Linked DNA regions of Solanum lycopersicum. Each later gene encodes a partner of the first gene's protein in a complex. Links are inferred from orthologs where the notes say so. Each region holds a gene or a part of one and is shown on either strand. Other genes may lie near its edges.

Region 1 (8,300 bases):
GAAGTTTTCTTCAAAGGAGAGAGACAGCTTATACGAGAAACGGGGCATTGGTCTTAAAACTAAAAAAAGAAGACATCAACTGTGCCATCAGTTATGGAAAGATACGAGAGACATGGATCACATTAAGGAAAGTGCAGCACTCATCTCAAAATTAGTTGGATTCGAAGCACAAAACGAAGTCCCAAAAGAGATGTTTGAACTCAACTTCTCACCAGGGCCAAAAAATCTCAGGTCTTTCAGCTGGAAGCCAAGAAAAGCCTAATGTGATCTTCTAATGCAAAAGATTTAAGGATTATTTGAAGCATTGTAGTGGCTTCAAAATGAATTAACCCTCCCTAATTCATGTAAAGTTTAGAAGTTAAACCACCCCCATAGTATCTAAATATACACAAAAGATGTCCCATACTTGTACTTAATACACCTTCTCCCTACTCATCGACGAGCTTTTATTAATGTACATTATGTATATTCAATCCTCAACCTCGAGATCTCAAGTTAAGAGAGTCATCCCTGTATGTAGATATAAGTGGAAGATATATTGCAGCTTATATGTATGTAAAACAAGACTCAAAATCATTGGGACAGCATAGGATAATTGTCTTCAAAAGGCATCATATTTTGCAGTTTTTTTTGTTCTGGTTGGAATATAAACCCACATCACCTTCTTTTCCTTCTCCTTATCTGTTTGGTTTTTCCTGGGATACTTGTCAATACAATTAAGCCAACTAGTTCACAATATATGTACAAAAAAGACCAAAATATAAGTATATAAAACCTATATATTGCATACTCAGCGCGAATTAGGCAACGATAACCTCTGTTTCATTATAGCATTTAACTCGAGATGAATCCTGATCATTTTTTTCGACTACACTCAATTCTTTGATCCAAACAAGGTACATTACAATTAGCTGAAACAAACCATTTACCTAACTTTGAAAGTAAAGCAAACTAATCAAAAAGATGCACTTTACATGAAACTTTGTCAACATATACATCCATTATCGCGATTTAAGAACGGCTCCTTCCACAATTTTCCAACCGGAGTTTGCCCAGGACATGTCGTACCTTGTTGTATAGGTAGTACTGTATGAGTCATTGTGCTCTGGATGGGCTACATCAGTTAAACTTGCTGATTCCTCTAGAGTAGCTTCCACAGTAGCACGTCGGCCATCAGCTGAGACAGTTACACTATCAATGGCAAGGTTTAAAAGCTTGTACTCCCAAAACCAACCATGCTGCGCAATTTCTCTTGCACGGTCTGTCCAAATCTTCAGCATCTGACCATCCAAAACCTGTCATTTTGAACAATGTCGTCAGGCAAAATACAAAGGTGACACCAGAAATAGCAAGGAGGTGTATTAAGCTGCATTTGGACAACAGCAAACAACAAAAAAGATGCTGGGTAGTTCATCACGAAGCAACTCGTGTTGAGCAGCTGAATTCTACAAGAAATCATTTGGCTCTAACAAAAAGTTGGTGTGTATGACATTTTGCTGTAAAGATATTATCATAACATTGTATAGAAATTGAGATAGAGCAGCTAACACACAATCCTACCTCTTGCTTTGGCAGGAAGTAAAATCCATTAAGAATTATCTCAAGGCTTTCAGGTTCTATTGCATTTCACGTCATACTATAGTGAAACATAATCAACAATATAAAAAGAAAGGCATTACATATTGATACCTCTGACAATCTGTTGAGACAGTGATCGGTTCCAAGAGACTGGGATTTGATATTCTGCCACTTCCGAACTATACTTTCTGCAAGTCTTGCATCCATTCTAGGAACCTCAAGAGGATTTTCAACTGGTGAGGCAGAGGTATCTGCAGTAGCAGATAAAATTTCTGATATTCAGAAGAAAGGGAAGGTTGGAAAAAGAAAACATAACTGAAACCCTCAGACAAGAATTTAAAAGAACCCCAGACTTGAGAAAATATAATAACAATAATAGAAGAAGATAATTTTTATTAGATAGATGTACAACTACCACTTGTAACAATAAGATTTTTTCTCTCAAATCCAGGTCGTTGAATGAAGCAGCAGAGAAAAGCAAAAGAGAATGGCTCCATAAGGTCATATTTGGTCAACCCCGAGAGTTATTTAGAAACTAAAATGGTCAGTGAGTCATACCCACATTGATAACATCCGAGGCAATGGCTGAACCAGTAGCACTAGCACTATGTTGAACTGAAGACCCATGTCTAAAGGAAGAAAGCTTCAATCCAACCAAAGTCAAGAAACCAACCGCTACTCCAGCACACATAATCTTCACACTTGCATCTTTTATTCTGTCAGTTATCACATCTTGCTCTTGATAGTTAGAACTCTTTCTCTCAGGATCCCCAACAGTCGTAATAAAGTTATTTTGATCACGGAGTTCTTCAAGATCCTCAAATGGCTTAGCAATATCAAATTCGTTCATCTCATTGTCACCATATCGTCTTACACTGCCTTCCCCGTCACCAGCAGGAAAAACTTTCTGTAGTGCCTGAATTGCACTAGCCTTAACACTATCAAGCACAGCTGTAGCTTCAGCTCCAATCCTTGCAATAGCTGCAGCAGCAGCTAAAGGTGAAGCACCACCACCTTCCAGCCTTTCCAAATATCTTAAAACAGTAGGGTCATCATAATAGTCACCAAGCTTAAAAGTGACATCTTCTGTCTCTCTAAATCTGGGAAAGACCACTTCCATCAACCAGGTCTCCAAAAGCTTACATAGTCCAGGGAGCAGATCATTTTCGTTGTCGTCCTTTGAGTGTTCTGCAACAAAAGTCACTATAGATGGATCTCTATAAGGGGAGTCCTCACTGTCTAGGCCCAACCAAGAGCGACATCCATCGACTTCTCCAACAAGCAGTGAACAAAGGCCCCTCTCCAAAGCAAAGTCTATTTCACGGTTTTCTCTAACAGTGTATACAGACACAGAACTGCCGTAAGCTGTAACTTTGGTCTGCTGAAGCTGCTGAAAAAGGTTATCAGCATCTTGAATGAGATGAGGTTTTTTTCCAACAAAAGCTTGAGCAACAAGTGCAAGCGCCACCCCGTAAACTTCAAAGCTTTCTGCAGGAATGTTACTTGGCGTTGCGACGAAGAGGTCCACCTTTTAAAAAGGAAGAGGAAAATGAAGAGAAGGAGTAAAAAGAACAGTTACAAAAGAAACCAAAATAAATGAATGAAGTTAAGCCAACCTGCTCAGCAGCTGTCATCCGTAGGAAGGCCTCATTCATGAAATCTTCTCGTGTGAACCCCCCTGAAATTGCAGCTGCTCCTCCTCCTCCAACAGCCCACAAAATGTTGCGCACGCCTTGAAGAGCCTCTACTCTTTTCATTCGGTATTCATCACCAAGAGGAAAAGCTAGAAGTTCAAGTACGTAGCGTGGATTTATCTCTTCTAATGTCTCATCTATCTGGGATTGCAGATCAAGGGCAAGATTACTTGCACCTTCTTCCTGGAAAAGGAAGGAAGAAAGTTCCTCATTATTTGCTCTTCACTGTAAGCTTACAATTCGACCCAAAAAAGGCATGCATCAGCATTAAAGCAGGCGAGAGGTAAAGAAAAAGTGCAGTCACATATACCCCACACACATACATTACCAAAAACAAACAAACAGAGACGTCTTAAGTGAATCATGGATGACCAAGAAGAGCACTATACTCATTTATAGGTAAATCAAAATGAAGTTAGCAATCAGTACAATGATACAAACCCTCTTCCATTATTAAAGTCATTTGTCAACAGACATTTGCAGCTGGCAAAAAGCTGTGTCATAGTGCATAAACTATAGAAAACAGTTATTTCCATGTGTGTTCCCTTTATAGAATTTCAAATATACCATCACATTCACTCTAACATACTCATATCATCAGAAGTAACTATACCTGCAACAGCTTAAGTGCTCTTTCAAGCAGTTCACAACCTTGAACAAAATCAGGAGGCGAAAGTGCCATCGCATCTCGCGAATGGTCAACATATGCGAGTGCCATAGCTAAGACCACATCTTGCTTGAATGACTTTGGCAACCGCTCTTTCAGCAAGCTTTCCCCAATCTGAAGAACTACTCCAGTCTCACCAGCTTCTTGCAAAACACACAATGCTCCCGGAACCTGTAAAAGCCATGACATTCTTTTAAATTCTTTGCATCCCACAACAACTTTTAGAATATTTAAGTTTTATAACCAACCCGGGTACAAATTTTACTACACTATCAGTTAGTTATGTATTGAGAACTAAGTAAGTGTAGACTGGTAATCTGGAAAATAGGTAGGTGACATGCTACAACGGGTTAAATTACACTGGTCATGTACAAAACCTTTTCTTTAATTTGCATAACTTAAACAATTACCTTTATCAATAGTAAGCGTGGTCTGGTAATCTAGAAAATAAGGTAAGCAACAAGCAACAACTCATTGAACTACATTGATCATGTTGTTCTCACTATATAAAATCTTATCTTATAACCGCGGAATAGTTTTGGCCCAATCCTTAGGAACAACCGCAGCCTTCAAAACTCAGGAAAAAGGGCCCGTCCTTCTATCCTTCTCCGCTTAAATACTAGGCTTAGTTTGCATAGCCAGAACCTATGACCCAAATTACAAGTCCTTCAACCTTGGCGACTTGAACTAAGCCTAGATGCACTTAAAACTACAAACTTCTACAATTTTATTCACTGCTACTTGCAATTGGTAATTTGTAAAATATGATAAGCAACATGCTACAATTATTAGCTAAATTATACAGATAGTATATAATTGAAAAAAGGCATCTAAGATCAACCTGACTTACTTGGGGAGCATAAGTTAATACAGATAAACTTAATTCCAAGTTTCAAACTCCCTATAGCACTTTTCAATTAGCTAAAAAATTATTCAATTAAGAATGTGGGCAGTAAATAAAAAAGTGGAGTAATTGAAATAGTACTTTATCCCAGGGGACCGGAGTTAGAATAGTATCGAACTCATGCTGAGCGAGGCCTTGATTGTATTCTCTACGAGAGGTAGAGTCAGCAAGGGTTTCACAAGCAGCTTGAAGAATCTGTCGTCGGCCAATCAATGCCTCTTGACTGTACCCGTACTGCGGCGGCTTAGTAATTCTAGCATCGTAGCATCTCCTGATACCATCACCGAGGAAGTGAGCTTCAGCACCAAGCACTCTATAAAAGTCTATAGGCATTAAAATGTGGCGGTCTGAAGGAGCAACGGGAGGAGGAATAGTCGTAACAGAGGTTGTAGAAGTTGAATTCTGGAAATCCGATGAGTCGGAGGTGGTGGTGGGGGAAGGAAGGAATTGGAAATCGGCGAGAAGACGATCCGCCCATTTACTGGCGGAGAAGTTCGTCGGTACACTACTTGTTCCACCGGTAACACTACTGGCTCCTCCGGTAACAGCATTGAGTCTCGGCGGCTTCTTACCGGCGCCGCCTGCTAGTTGAAATGGTGGTGAAAGGCGTGCAGTACAAATGCCAAAGCTTAGGTGTGTTAATGCCTCCATTGTTAAGGAAGCTTCAAAATGTGCTCATAATTCATTGTTTTTAACTCTTTCAGATATTTTTTGTTCACTCGTAAAGCAATTGGGCCGACTCTTTCATATGGGCTAAAATTTCTTGTTGGGCTTCGAAACTGAATCTTATGGATGGATAAGTGGATAGGCCCGTTTCATTTGAATGATTAGATGGATCCAATTGCACGGTTTGCTATTTGAATGAACTTATCGTAGTCATCGGATATTATGATGTAAAAATATAAATGTAGATTCCGTAAAAAAGTTACTTTCTCCGTTTCATTTTATGTGCCACTTTCGCATTTCGAGATTCAAACAAGTCTATCGTTGACCATAAGTTTTTCATAGACCTTTTTAACATTTTGAATTATCAATTATTATGACTTATAGTACTCTTTACGTAGTTTAATAAATATATAAATTTTATTTTTAAAAAATTTGAAAATTTCATACGCAAATGTCCGATCAAAGTTAAACTATTTAATTCTCGAAAAACGAAAAGTGTCACATAAAATGGGACGGATTGAGTATTTATTTTGAGGGCTAAGAATTAAAGACCAACACAAAATAAGGATAAAACTGCAAAAGACATATTTTATATGAACCTCTAAATTAAAGGGGTTTTTTACGAGTGAAATTGGACGGAATCGTGGTTCAAATGTAAAGGAAAATATTTTATGAAAAATCAGTTTCGTGGTGAAAAATATTTGTGACGCATATAACAACTATATTATATGAAAATAAAACACGATGATAGTGTTTTGATGATCGTAAAATTGTTGTATTTGTAAAGAAAAAAAACAAAGAAGTAGAGCTTTAGAAGTTACTTGCAATGTTTAAGCTGACCACTTCTAAAGTATTTGACAAACACAAAAAACCAGATTGACATGGAACATATCGCCATTGACAAAACATGAAGACAACTTCAATCTCACATTCTGCAAGTACAACAATAAAAACGACAACCTTAAATTCATTACATTAAGGGATCGGAATCAAAATCTCTCCGTACTTTTTATTATTATCATATTATATCGAACCAAATTAAACCATATATCGAATCCGAATAAGTTCGAATATTGCAACAAATTCATTGCTAATCCGTCCTAATAATTAGTGGGTGGTCCCATTAACACCACTAAGTATTTATTTTTGTCATAGTTGACATTTATAGTCATTTGATTGACTCAAAGCATGCAACTTTTATAATTAACAACATCTTAATCATGGTCTCTAATCTTATTTACAATGTGTCTTATCTTTCTTTATTTTTTTTTTCTTGAATACATCATTAAAATAGAGACTATTATTTCACCATTCCACCTAATTATATAAGTAATACCATCTAAATATAATCATTTGGTTACGTGAGGAGTAATAGATTATTACTTTAATTAGTATTAATAGCGAAATCAGAAATTTTAATAAGAGAATTCAAAAGTTAACATTCTACAAATAAGTTATTGATTCAAGGAGTATTACAGATTTAGTTAGTCTTCTTTCTTCGTGTATTAGTAATACGTGAATTATAATTTCACGTCTCATTTTTTATGAGATAGCATGCGACCTTCATATATAAATGATACGAGCGTATATTTTATACCTATCTTTTGTGATAAGGGATTATTTTTGGTAGTGTGGCAAACCAAGAGACCCCATATAGACTAGAGATAACGAGAAATGTTACTATTATTAGGATGTTTAGTTTGTTAGAAATGGTTAACTATTTTTGGAGTGACATATATAATATCATTGTATATCTTTTGTAGTAGCAACTACATCTATGTATACTACTTAATTCACCCCCCTATCTACCTAAAACCAACTCAACATATACCATATTTCAACCATAAGAGTTTGAGTAGTGGGTGATAGTGAATAGTGGTCCAAAGAATATTGTTCATTGCATTCAACTTCCTCACATCTTAAAAGTGATATATGGAGTTGAAAGAGGCAATGGCAATGGAACAAGTGGACACACTACCTTCGACTATCGTGATGAAATGAATAGAATTTCTCCGGTTCTTAACAAAAAGTCTTGAATTCAAACTTTTCAGGCTGGTATTTTTAAAAAAATCTAGTAGTGAGGAGCAAACTGCACGGATACTTGATTTTGACGTTGTTGTTTGACATTTGCTCATTTTTTAAAAATGTATACACGCTTCGAAACAATTTCAAATATAGTCAGTTTGACAAAAATCTTAAACTTCAAATACAATTTTTATAGTTTTATTTGACTGAAGTTTAAAAACATATGACATTATCAAAATAGACTTTCCCGTGAATTTTTTTACGGTTGAAAGCTATTATTTCTCTTATTCTGTTTGAAGTTTCATATAAATGAAGTCCAAACACACATTGACGACGTCCTATTTGACTCTCTCGTGATATTTTTTTTTATCGTATAGTGCTGGTGTTTGTCCTAATAATTCAATACGACATGAGTCGATATTAAACGAGACAGTAACTTAGATATTAGATATTGAATATCGATTAGGAAAGATAAATTTAAAAAGTGCAATTGGACACGAAATTAAGTGGCCCCCCAATTGATGACATTGATTGCAAAAAATGAAAAGAAAAATGGCTTTATTTATTAATCAATCTAAACTTTAAAGAACATATATAATGAAGATATCAGGCTAAAGGAGTGAACATCGGCTTTTAATGTTATGTACATTATATTATACATATTTGATACATACGTGACCCTCTCAACTATAAAACACAAAGAATCAAGTCGCATTTAATCATTGCCAAATGCACTTTTACCCCCATTTATATTAATGTCAATTAA
Region 2 (8,192 bases), on another chromosome or scaffold:
AAATGCTGAAACGATTTCGGTAAAGCCTTTTAACTCAACTTTTTGTACATTTACATTATACCTCTTACATAGAAGCCACCAAAATCTCAACACATTTACATGTTGATAGCTTCTAAAAATAGTTGTTCATTACAAGTACAAATTAACTTTTGCGTTCAACGTAACTTTTGATCTTTCAGTAAACTTGTAAAGTTATGCAAATCTGAATAGTCTTAAACTTGCCAATGCAGGTACCTAGTCTCAAAATTGGAAGAAGTTGCCCCTGAAGAAATGAGACATGAAGAGAAACTAGCCTTTTGGATTAATGTCCACAATGCATTAGTAATGCATGTAAGATTTCTGTACCTAAGAGTTATCCCAAGACCTTTTTTACTATGCGATAAATTATGAACCAGCATCGTGTATGTTACAGGCATTTTTGGTTCATGGGATTCCAAGAAGTAATCTCAAGAGAGCATCTTTACTTCTTAAGGTAAGAAAATTCTGCTAAAATGCAACAGTTTTTACTGTGTAATTGGTTCTTTATAACTCAGTAAGCTTTTTTCATTTTTCAGTCAGCTTACAATATTGGAGGGAATACAGTAAGTGTGGACATGATCCAGAATTCTATACTACAATGCCAGTTGCCTCGTCCCGGTCAGGTAAGTTACTATATTCAATTTCTGTTTCTGCAGTACTTTGAGAGAGCTCATGTTACTACATTTCCTCCTTGAAGTAATATGTATCGATTTTTCCTGTACAAAATAGTGGCTTCAGTCATTGTTCTTTACGAAACAAAGATTTAAGGGTGGCGATGCAAGAAGAGGATATGCAATGGAGCATCCAGATCCTCGCCTACGCTTTGCTCTTTGCTCAGGAAATCATTCTGATCCTGTGGTAATGCACTGACAAAAGCATTACTGTCATTTCGTTCAAACTATCTTTTTTTCCTGTTTTGCTTAGAACATATGATATCTTGTACATATGCAGCTTCGTTTGTACACATCGAAGAGAGTATTCGAAGAACTAGAAGTGGCTAAAGATGATTACATTCAGGCAAACATAAGGGTACACAAAGAACAAAAACTAGTCCTTCCAAAGAATGTGGAATCTTATGTTAAAGAAGTGAATGTGAGTCCATCTGGTTTGTTCGAAACTATAGAGCTGGCATTACCTTGTTATTTGAGGAAGAAATTTCAGCAGCCCGAGCAACGAAAGTTGTGGAAGAAAATTGATTGGATTCCTCACAACTTCAGTTTCAGATACCTTGTTTCAAGTGAATTGGTTGAGTGATCAAACTCAAGAGTTTTGAATGTCAGATGAATCACAATCAAAGGGGCTATTCAGATTGAGAAGTGTGAAATATTTGAACTTGTTGTTTAACAGAAGTGCTATAGTTGTGATTCAACTGTCATTCCTAATGACTAATGAGTCTCCCCTCATTTTCATAAGTGAGTTTGTAATAATTTGGATGGTCCAAAACCTCATTTATTCTCTTGTTTTTCTATTTTTCCTTCTTGTTGAGAGTTTTTCATTGGTTATTGTAGCTCTAAGCAGAAGAATTGTATGCAAAAGCCTAAAGGCAGTTGGGAACTATAAATAAGTGGTGTTGTATATTATAAAGGAGTGAATAGGTTAAATTTAATTAGTGAGTTTTATATTTAAATTATTAGGTGTTTTTATTATCTTTTAACTATTATTTCTTTTATATTTAAATTATTTGGTGTTTGTATTATCTTTTAACTATAATCCTTTCAGATTTAAGAAGTCTCAGTTAAATGTGAAAAAATATGAAGGATAACTTGCCGAGAGGTGAGTGAAGACAATTAAATCTGATCAGAGACTCCTTTCATATATTGGTTGAAATATATTAAAGACTATTTAACCAGATACGTGGCAAATGCAGAAAGAACTATAGTCAATTATTGAACCAGTCAATAGTTAGTCGAACCAAGGACTTGTTAGACCAATTGAGATCAGCTCCAGAACCTCCTCCTCACTCCTGGGATAAAGCCCACGATATCATATTAAACTAGGTCTTGAACCTGCTCGCACCCCAAAAATTAATTATTACATTACCTTCCATACATCCACATTTTCAAAAAATTAAATATAATTTAAATTAGTTGATTTTTTGTGTGACCTCATAAACATTTTGAGGCTAAACAAATAGTTAATGAAAAATAAAACTAATAAAGTTGAAGTAACAAGCTTCAAGTATTATCATTATTTTCATTAATTATAACCCCAAACAAATAGCAACAGTGATTTAGGACCACAAAAATAATTTTCGAAAATCAAAGGTTTGTTGGAGATATATTAGCTAGCGTTTGGTCATAGATTTCCAAATATTCTTGGCAAATATTATTTGAGTGAAAATTTGGGTGAAATTTCACCATGTGTTTGGCCATGAAATTTGGGAAATATATTTCACCTTTTTAGAAAAATATGATTTATACACACAAGTTTTAAAAACTATCAAAACTAACTAAAAGTTTGTATTACAAGTCAATTGAATGTTAGTTACAACAATAACAAATAATGTCTATGACACTGAAGCAATGTGGTAATTTGGAGTGAGTGCAACAAGAATTATTCCATACATCGTGAAGTAGATAAAGTACATGACTTTGTTACCTAAAGCCAATTTTTAATAATTTTCATCAACAATCATATCATTATTTAATATTCACTAAATATTTCATCACTATTTTGGTGTTCACGTAAAAAATGATGTAATACAACGCAAGCAAATACTAGAGAGAGTGTTTTTGTAAAAGATAAAAGATTGGGGTAAAATTTTAATTTTTAAAATATCCCAAATAATAATATTTGGCCCAAATACTAGAAAAAACTAGTATTTGGAAATTTGGGATATTTGCCAAAAATATTTACCAAATAATGACAAATTATATGGACAAACATTATTTACCAAATTTTTTCCAAATATTATTTGAAAAAATTATGTCCAAACGGGCCCTAAGTTTCGAGTAAAAGGACAAAACCAACAATTAGAAATTTGTTTTGTTAAAAGGGTTTATATAGGGAAAAAAAGAAAAAAAAGAAGAAGCTCTAATGTCATCTCTTTAGTTTCAAGAAAGCACCACAATCACTTGTATTTCGCTGCTTCTTTTTTCTTTTGTCACTTTCTTGCCACTTCTTTGTCCTCATTACAGAAACCCCATTTGCGCAAAATTCAAGATTTTCAATTTGCAGTATCCAGAAATCAAGAATCTTTAAGTTATGGATGAAGATAGAATAGGGTTAGTGCTGGCTAGAATCTCTGAACTGAGGGTAGAGATAACGAATTGTATTCACAAAGCATCTAAGAAAGATGAAGTGGAATCTGGAAATGGAGAAGACCCAGATGAGAAAACCCATGAGGGTGATGATGAAGCAGTGGATTGCTTGTTGAAGATTAAGGATGCTCTTGAATCACTTGAAGCCCAAGTGTCTTCTTTGCAGGTCTCTTCTTGATACTTGTTCTACTTCAATTTTGAAACTTGGAATTTTTCCCCTTTTTGGGTAAATGTGTGATTTTAGAAGATTTTATGTATTGCTGACTGACTCTAATTAGTTTGAGATTGAGGGGTTGTAGTTGTTTTCTATATGCTACAGAATTTTACAAAATTTTTACTTTTCTTGATTTGATAAGAAAGGCGGCGCCTAATCTAGGGTTTAACCTTAATGAGTAGTTGCTAGAAGCTTTGTTTGATTTTCTTAACTTACTTGCATCGACTTTTTTGATGGGGTTTCTGTAGTCTCTTTTTTTCAATATTGGCGGTAGGGAAGGGGAAATGGGAGGGGATTACAATGCGGGGAATCGAACCCTCACCAACAAGATGTAAGCCAACCAACTGAGCTCTGTAGTCTGGTATACCTATTGTGCTATGAACATATTTGCTTTAGGAATTTTTCCTCTGTGTGATGAGTGGTTATGTTGTTCTCTTGTTGATGCTTTTATTGCGCGTTAGGGAGAAATATGTTTAAAGTTTTTAGAGTTGAAGTTGGGATACAAATTTGATGGTTAACCTTCTGTTATTTTTTCTGGATGGAAACCTGCATTTGGATATCTGTATTGAATTTTCTTCGGTGAGATTAAGCAAATGTGTAATGGTGAATTAGATGGATTTAACGCAGTTTAGATTTGTTCACAAAGTGAATAAAAGTCTTCTTGACTGGAATGGATGAAAAGCTCTCTGTTTCGATAAACTATCATGTGCATTCTTCAGTTTCAATGAAATGTGTAGAATTTTCAGGATTTGACATTCAGTTATATATCTGATCTCTAAAGCTGTTGCACATTACCATATACATTCATGCTGATGACTGAGAAATCCTGGTTCAAAACTCCGTAAATGATGGGCCCGTGCCTCTACCCTTTCCCAATCAAGTATTAGAGTTCTTATTTCTGGCACAATAGCAGAATTTGAACCGTGATGTGCGCCTAAATCCAGCCCACATTATGACTGCACTCTTACCACTAGACCAAAGCCTTGGGGCTTAAATGTTGTTGCAACTTGCACGTTACTGTTATTTACTACTGTTAGGGTGTGTTCGTACATTTTGTGAACTTTGTTGTGTCCATAATGTATATACATCTACTCCATGTACCATGAAGTCATTTTAAATGTTGTCAAGTTAAGTGGAACCAGCCGTTTTCAAATTCTTGAGTGAGATAAGTGGGACTTAGGGGGTTTAAAGTTTACATGAGGTTTAGATGAGAGTAAAGATGTTTACGTTGTTACCTGAGCAGACTATTGACTACTGTATGCAACTTTGAGTTCAAGGACCGTGGTCAAATGTTAAATGGTAGTCTTTGAATCTACTTTTTTGTGAAATGAAGTGTCTGACTATGTCTGTATATTGCAAGACAAATCGGAGCTCAAATCCTGACCAACCTTAATTTGGATTAAATTCTTCTTCTTCTTTTTGTGGAAAATAATTTGGATAACGTTCTTAGCACCCTTAAAAGCAATCCAGTTGAGATTTGAGTGACAAATCTTTTGTCTTTGATTACTTCCGTATACAAGCGATGAAGGGCATACAGAGGAGAGGGTAAAGGGGTAGGAGAATGTAGCTTTGGATGGGAATAGAACCTTTGCCTATGTAGTGCAAGTGAACCTGGATATTATTACTTATATTGTGATTTTCTCATCTCTCTTTGAAGCTAAAGATTCTGAGGTGCTACTTTTTACTACTCACTAATCCCCTGAAATATAACTTACCTGAACGACCTTCCCCTAAAATTGTTGACTGCTTTAAATTGATTCCATCAATGATGTGAATGCTGATTCCTAGCGCTAGCAGTCTCTTTGTAGGTCACATAGATACCTGATTTTAGACGTCGTTTCATAAACGAGACCAATCATGCTATTCTAATAAGAGAAATGGAAATCTCAGTGTGAAACCCCATAATCCATTTGACACAGCTGAAAATTGATCGAGTGTTTTGAAAAGTTTTCCCCAACTACTTAACAAGAGTTCCAGCTGTGATATTTCTCATTACAAATGTTCTTTTCATGTTACTTTTAAATTGCTGAAAGATTATTATCCAAGGTTTAATTAAGTAGCTTCTGAGTGTAATGTGTCGGCAAAATATTGATCAATCAGACAGGAATTCCTATGTCACTTTGTCGTGGAGGCGTGTGTTTCAAGTGATGTTGTTCCTATCTAATGTGCAAGCTAAGATCTGTTGCTAAGTGTCTGTTGCAGATACTATGTATAGTCAACTGGAAAGTGACTGTATCATGTTGCAAGAAGGATTACATTTTGTTTCCGGAATAAGAATGCCACATCCTAAATGGGTCATCATTTGTCTTTCATCATAGAGTTTGATGTTTGTTTGAAAAATCTTCATGTTAATTTAAATGATTGTTATGCTTAAATTATCTCTTGGATGTGGCATATTGGGCTTGGGGCTGTAGAGCGTGCTTGGTTGTGATGTCCTGCAGAGGGAAAACTTTGCACCGTAATCTCTAAGTGCAGGGTTAAACTTTTGATTCAGTAATCACGTTAGTCAATCCTGCTCCAGTCATTGCAATGCCATTTATAAGCTTTAGAATTAATACTGAAACAAGATTAATCATTGTTCAACGGATGAACTTGTTTTGATATCTTCATTTCATGAAAAGTGACAAGGTGCCTCTGGTCTTTACAAGTAAAACGATGTGTCAACTTTATGGGATTTATTTTCCTGTTAAAGACATTCATTTGCATTTAGTAAATGACTAGTGTCACTCATTACTAGTCACAGTAAAACTGAAAGGCTGTTCTCCCTATTCTAAAGCAGCAGTATTTTCATGACAAACATCTACTAGCCTATCTTCATGAAAATTCTTTAAATGAAGTTGGTACTTACATGTAAAAAGATGGTCTTCCAATTTGTTTCAAACACACTGTAGTCCAATATTCTAAATCAGCAGTATTTTTTTGCTTGGTACTCTTCCAATAGTATCTATGAGTAAATTAGATTTCGTCTTGTCAAAAGTCAATTATCCCAATGCTGAAGTATATTCTTATTCCCTTAGGATTGAATTGCTTATGCCTCTTCCGGAAAACAGTATCTCTGGGCAACTTAGTGAAAATCCTTGTCCCAATTACCTGCCCTGAGATCATGGACCTCATTCTCTGAAGCTGTTGCTGTTATTATCTTGCTCTCTGTTTTTACATGAAATATACAACAAGGCTTTTATGACATTCCTTTTGTTTTCAGATTTATGCATTTCAATTATGTTGTCCCCCTCTATTGAAGCTTATACCTCATTGCCATTTATTTCTAATGTTTCAGGCACTACAAGAACAACAATGGTATGAAAAAGAAGCAGCGCTGGCTGAGATAGGTTATAGTCAAGAAAAATTGCTCCAGACACTGAAAGGGTATGAAGGCAAAGATTACCAAGTCATACACGAGGCAATTGCTTTTGTTTCTGAAACAGTTGAAGACAACAATGATCTTCTACTTCCTCCTTACCCTAGCAGACCTTCTCGTACCCTGGTGTCAGACAAGGGTTATGGGGTACACTTGCCATCTGCACGGAAACTCACTCAAAATGGAGTAACTGGTAGCCACAACCACAATTCCAGGAAAGATGTCGATGACGCTAACCATGAAAGATCTGAGCCTAAAAGCCCATTAAGAATGGTTAAATTCTTCCTCAGTGCAGCAGCTAAGACAGCACTCACAGTTGTTGGTGTAATATCTGTCTTGACTTTGGCTGGGTTCGAGCCTCAGATAAAGAAACGGGATAATCAGATCAATGTTTCGAACTTGTTTCAACAGGTGGCAAACAGCAAAGTCCCCGTGGTTGAAAATGGTGAAACTCAGTGCGTCGTGAAAGAGAGAGTTGAGATTCCATTTGAATCGGTTGTGGCTACTCCAGATGTAAATTATGGCTGTGGATGAAAGGTTGTTCCTTTTTCTGTCTTCTTTTTGTGTAAATCCCACTTTAAGTTTTTGACTCTATTAACTCTGTGTGGCCTGACAATGTAATTTGTCTTAGCTAGAGAAAAGTTCAGTCAGAAAATAAATTTCCCATCTCTCTCATTGTGCCCTGTATACCTGATTTGATATCCTTTACTTGAGTCGAGGGTCTATTGAAACTACATGGATATACTCTGTCCTCTTTGGACTCCACTTGTGCGATTATGATTTTCTTTTTCAATTGTCAAATGAGTTTGTTATGTGTTTTTTCTTTATTTTAAAATGGATCCTACTCGCGAGCTATGTTATCCTACAATATTTAAGAAAATTGGTGACCTGGGAAAATACATGGTAGTGAGTTGTGAGTTAAGGTTTTTGTCTTTTCGTATGATGCGTGTGTCCCTTGATAGATCTGCTGTAGATTTGCCAACTTAGTTCACTACTATAATGTCTGCACGAATGGATTGAATAAACAAGTTGGTGTTTTATTAAATGAAGGGACAGGATTGTTGCACATTCATGTTTTGGCTCACCTGAAATTTGAAGACTTTTTTTCAATTATATCACAGCAACTTCCTACAGACAAAAGCACATGATATCCAATTATTGAGTTGAAATTACAAGATTTACTGTTATTTTTCCTGTTTTTCTACAGAACCAAGAAAGATCATTTTGTTGGCTGTTGCACTTTCTTGTGCCCTTCTTGTTTTGCAATTGCCAATTTATACTGTAGTTTATGCACATGGATATATACAAGGGACTTTTAAGTGTAGACATTTTGTTAAGGAGT

The links. The genes of interacting proteins can lie anywhere in the genome.
Region 2: the proteins of hop-interacting protein THI044 (region 1) and plastid division protein PDV2 are in contact, whole or in part, in a crystal structure (PDB 5GTB), measured with the Arabidopsis thaliana proteins. The link is inferred for Solanum lycopersicum from reciprocal best matches to the Arabidopsis thaliana genes ARC6 and PDV2. Residues at the interface, in NP_199063.1 of Arabidopsis thaliana: Trp686, Gln687, Lys690, Phe694, Arg710, Met711, Ile714, Trp715, Arg718, Glu721, Thr722, Leu725, Leu727, Tyr729, Tyr731, Glu753, Leu756, Glu758, Ala760, Leu762, Asp764, Val766, His767, Asn770, Ala772, Thr773, Asp774, Arg776, Tyr778, Thr780; in NP_028242.1 of Arabidopsis thaliana: Glu287, Arg288, Val289, Glu290, Ile291, Pro292, Phe293, Asp294, Ala298, Lys299, Arg300, Asp301, Val302, Thr303, Tyr304, Gly305, Tyr306, Gly307.

Annotation. Positions count from the first base shown.
Region 1 is NC_090803.1:66,997,264-67,005,563, forward strand, and holds hop-interacting protein THI044, read right to left. Parts: upstream 5,525-8,300; 5' UTR 5,495-5,524; coding exon 4,925-5,494; intron 4,111-4,924; coding exon 3,886-4,110; intron 3,456-3,885; coding exon 3,195-3,455; intron 3,107-3,194; coding exon 2,137-3,106; intron 1,851-2,136; coding exon 1,690-1,850; intron 1,296-1,689; coding exon 1,002-1,295; 3' UTR 804-1,001; downstream 1-803. Other genes in the region: kinesin-like protein KIN-7E, read left to right, coding at 1-262. UniProt on the Arabidopsis thaliana protein: Component of the plastid division machinery consisting in a binary fission accomplished by the simultaneous constriction of the FtsZ ring on the stromal side of the inner envelope membrane, and the ARC5 ring on the cytosolic side of the outer envelope membrane.
Region 2 is NC_090800.1:92,337,077-92,345,268, reverse strand, and holds plastid division protein PDV2, read left to right. Parts: upstream 1-2,997; 5' UTR 2,998-3,222; coding exon 3,223-3,444; intron 3,445-6,769; coding exon 6,770-7,384; 3' UTR 7,385-7,516; downstream 7,517-8,192. Other genes in the region: uncharacterized protein, read left to right, coding at 1-19, 231-330, 413-472, 555-641, 748-876, 970-1,272. UniProt on the Arabidopsis thaliana protein: Component of the plastid division machinery consisting in a binary fission accomplished by the simultaneous constriction of the FtsZ ring on the stromal side of the inner envelope membrane, and the ARC5/DRP5B ring on the cytosolic side of the outer envelope membrane.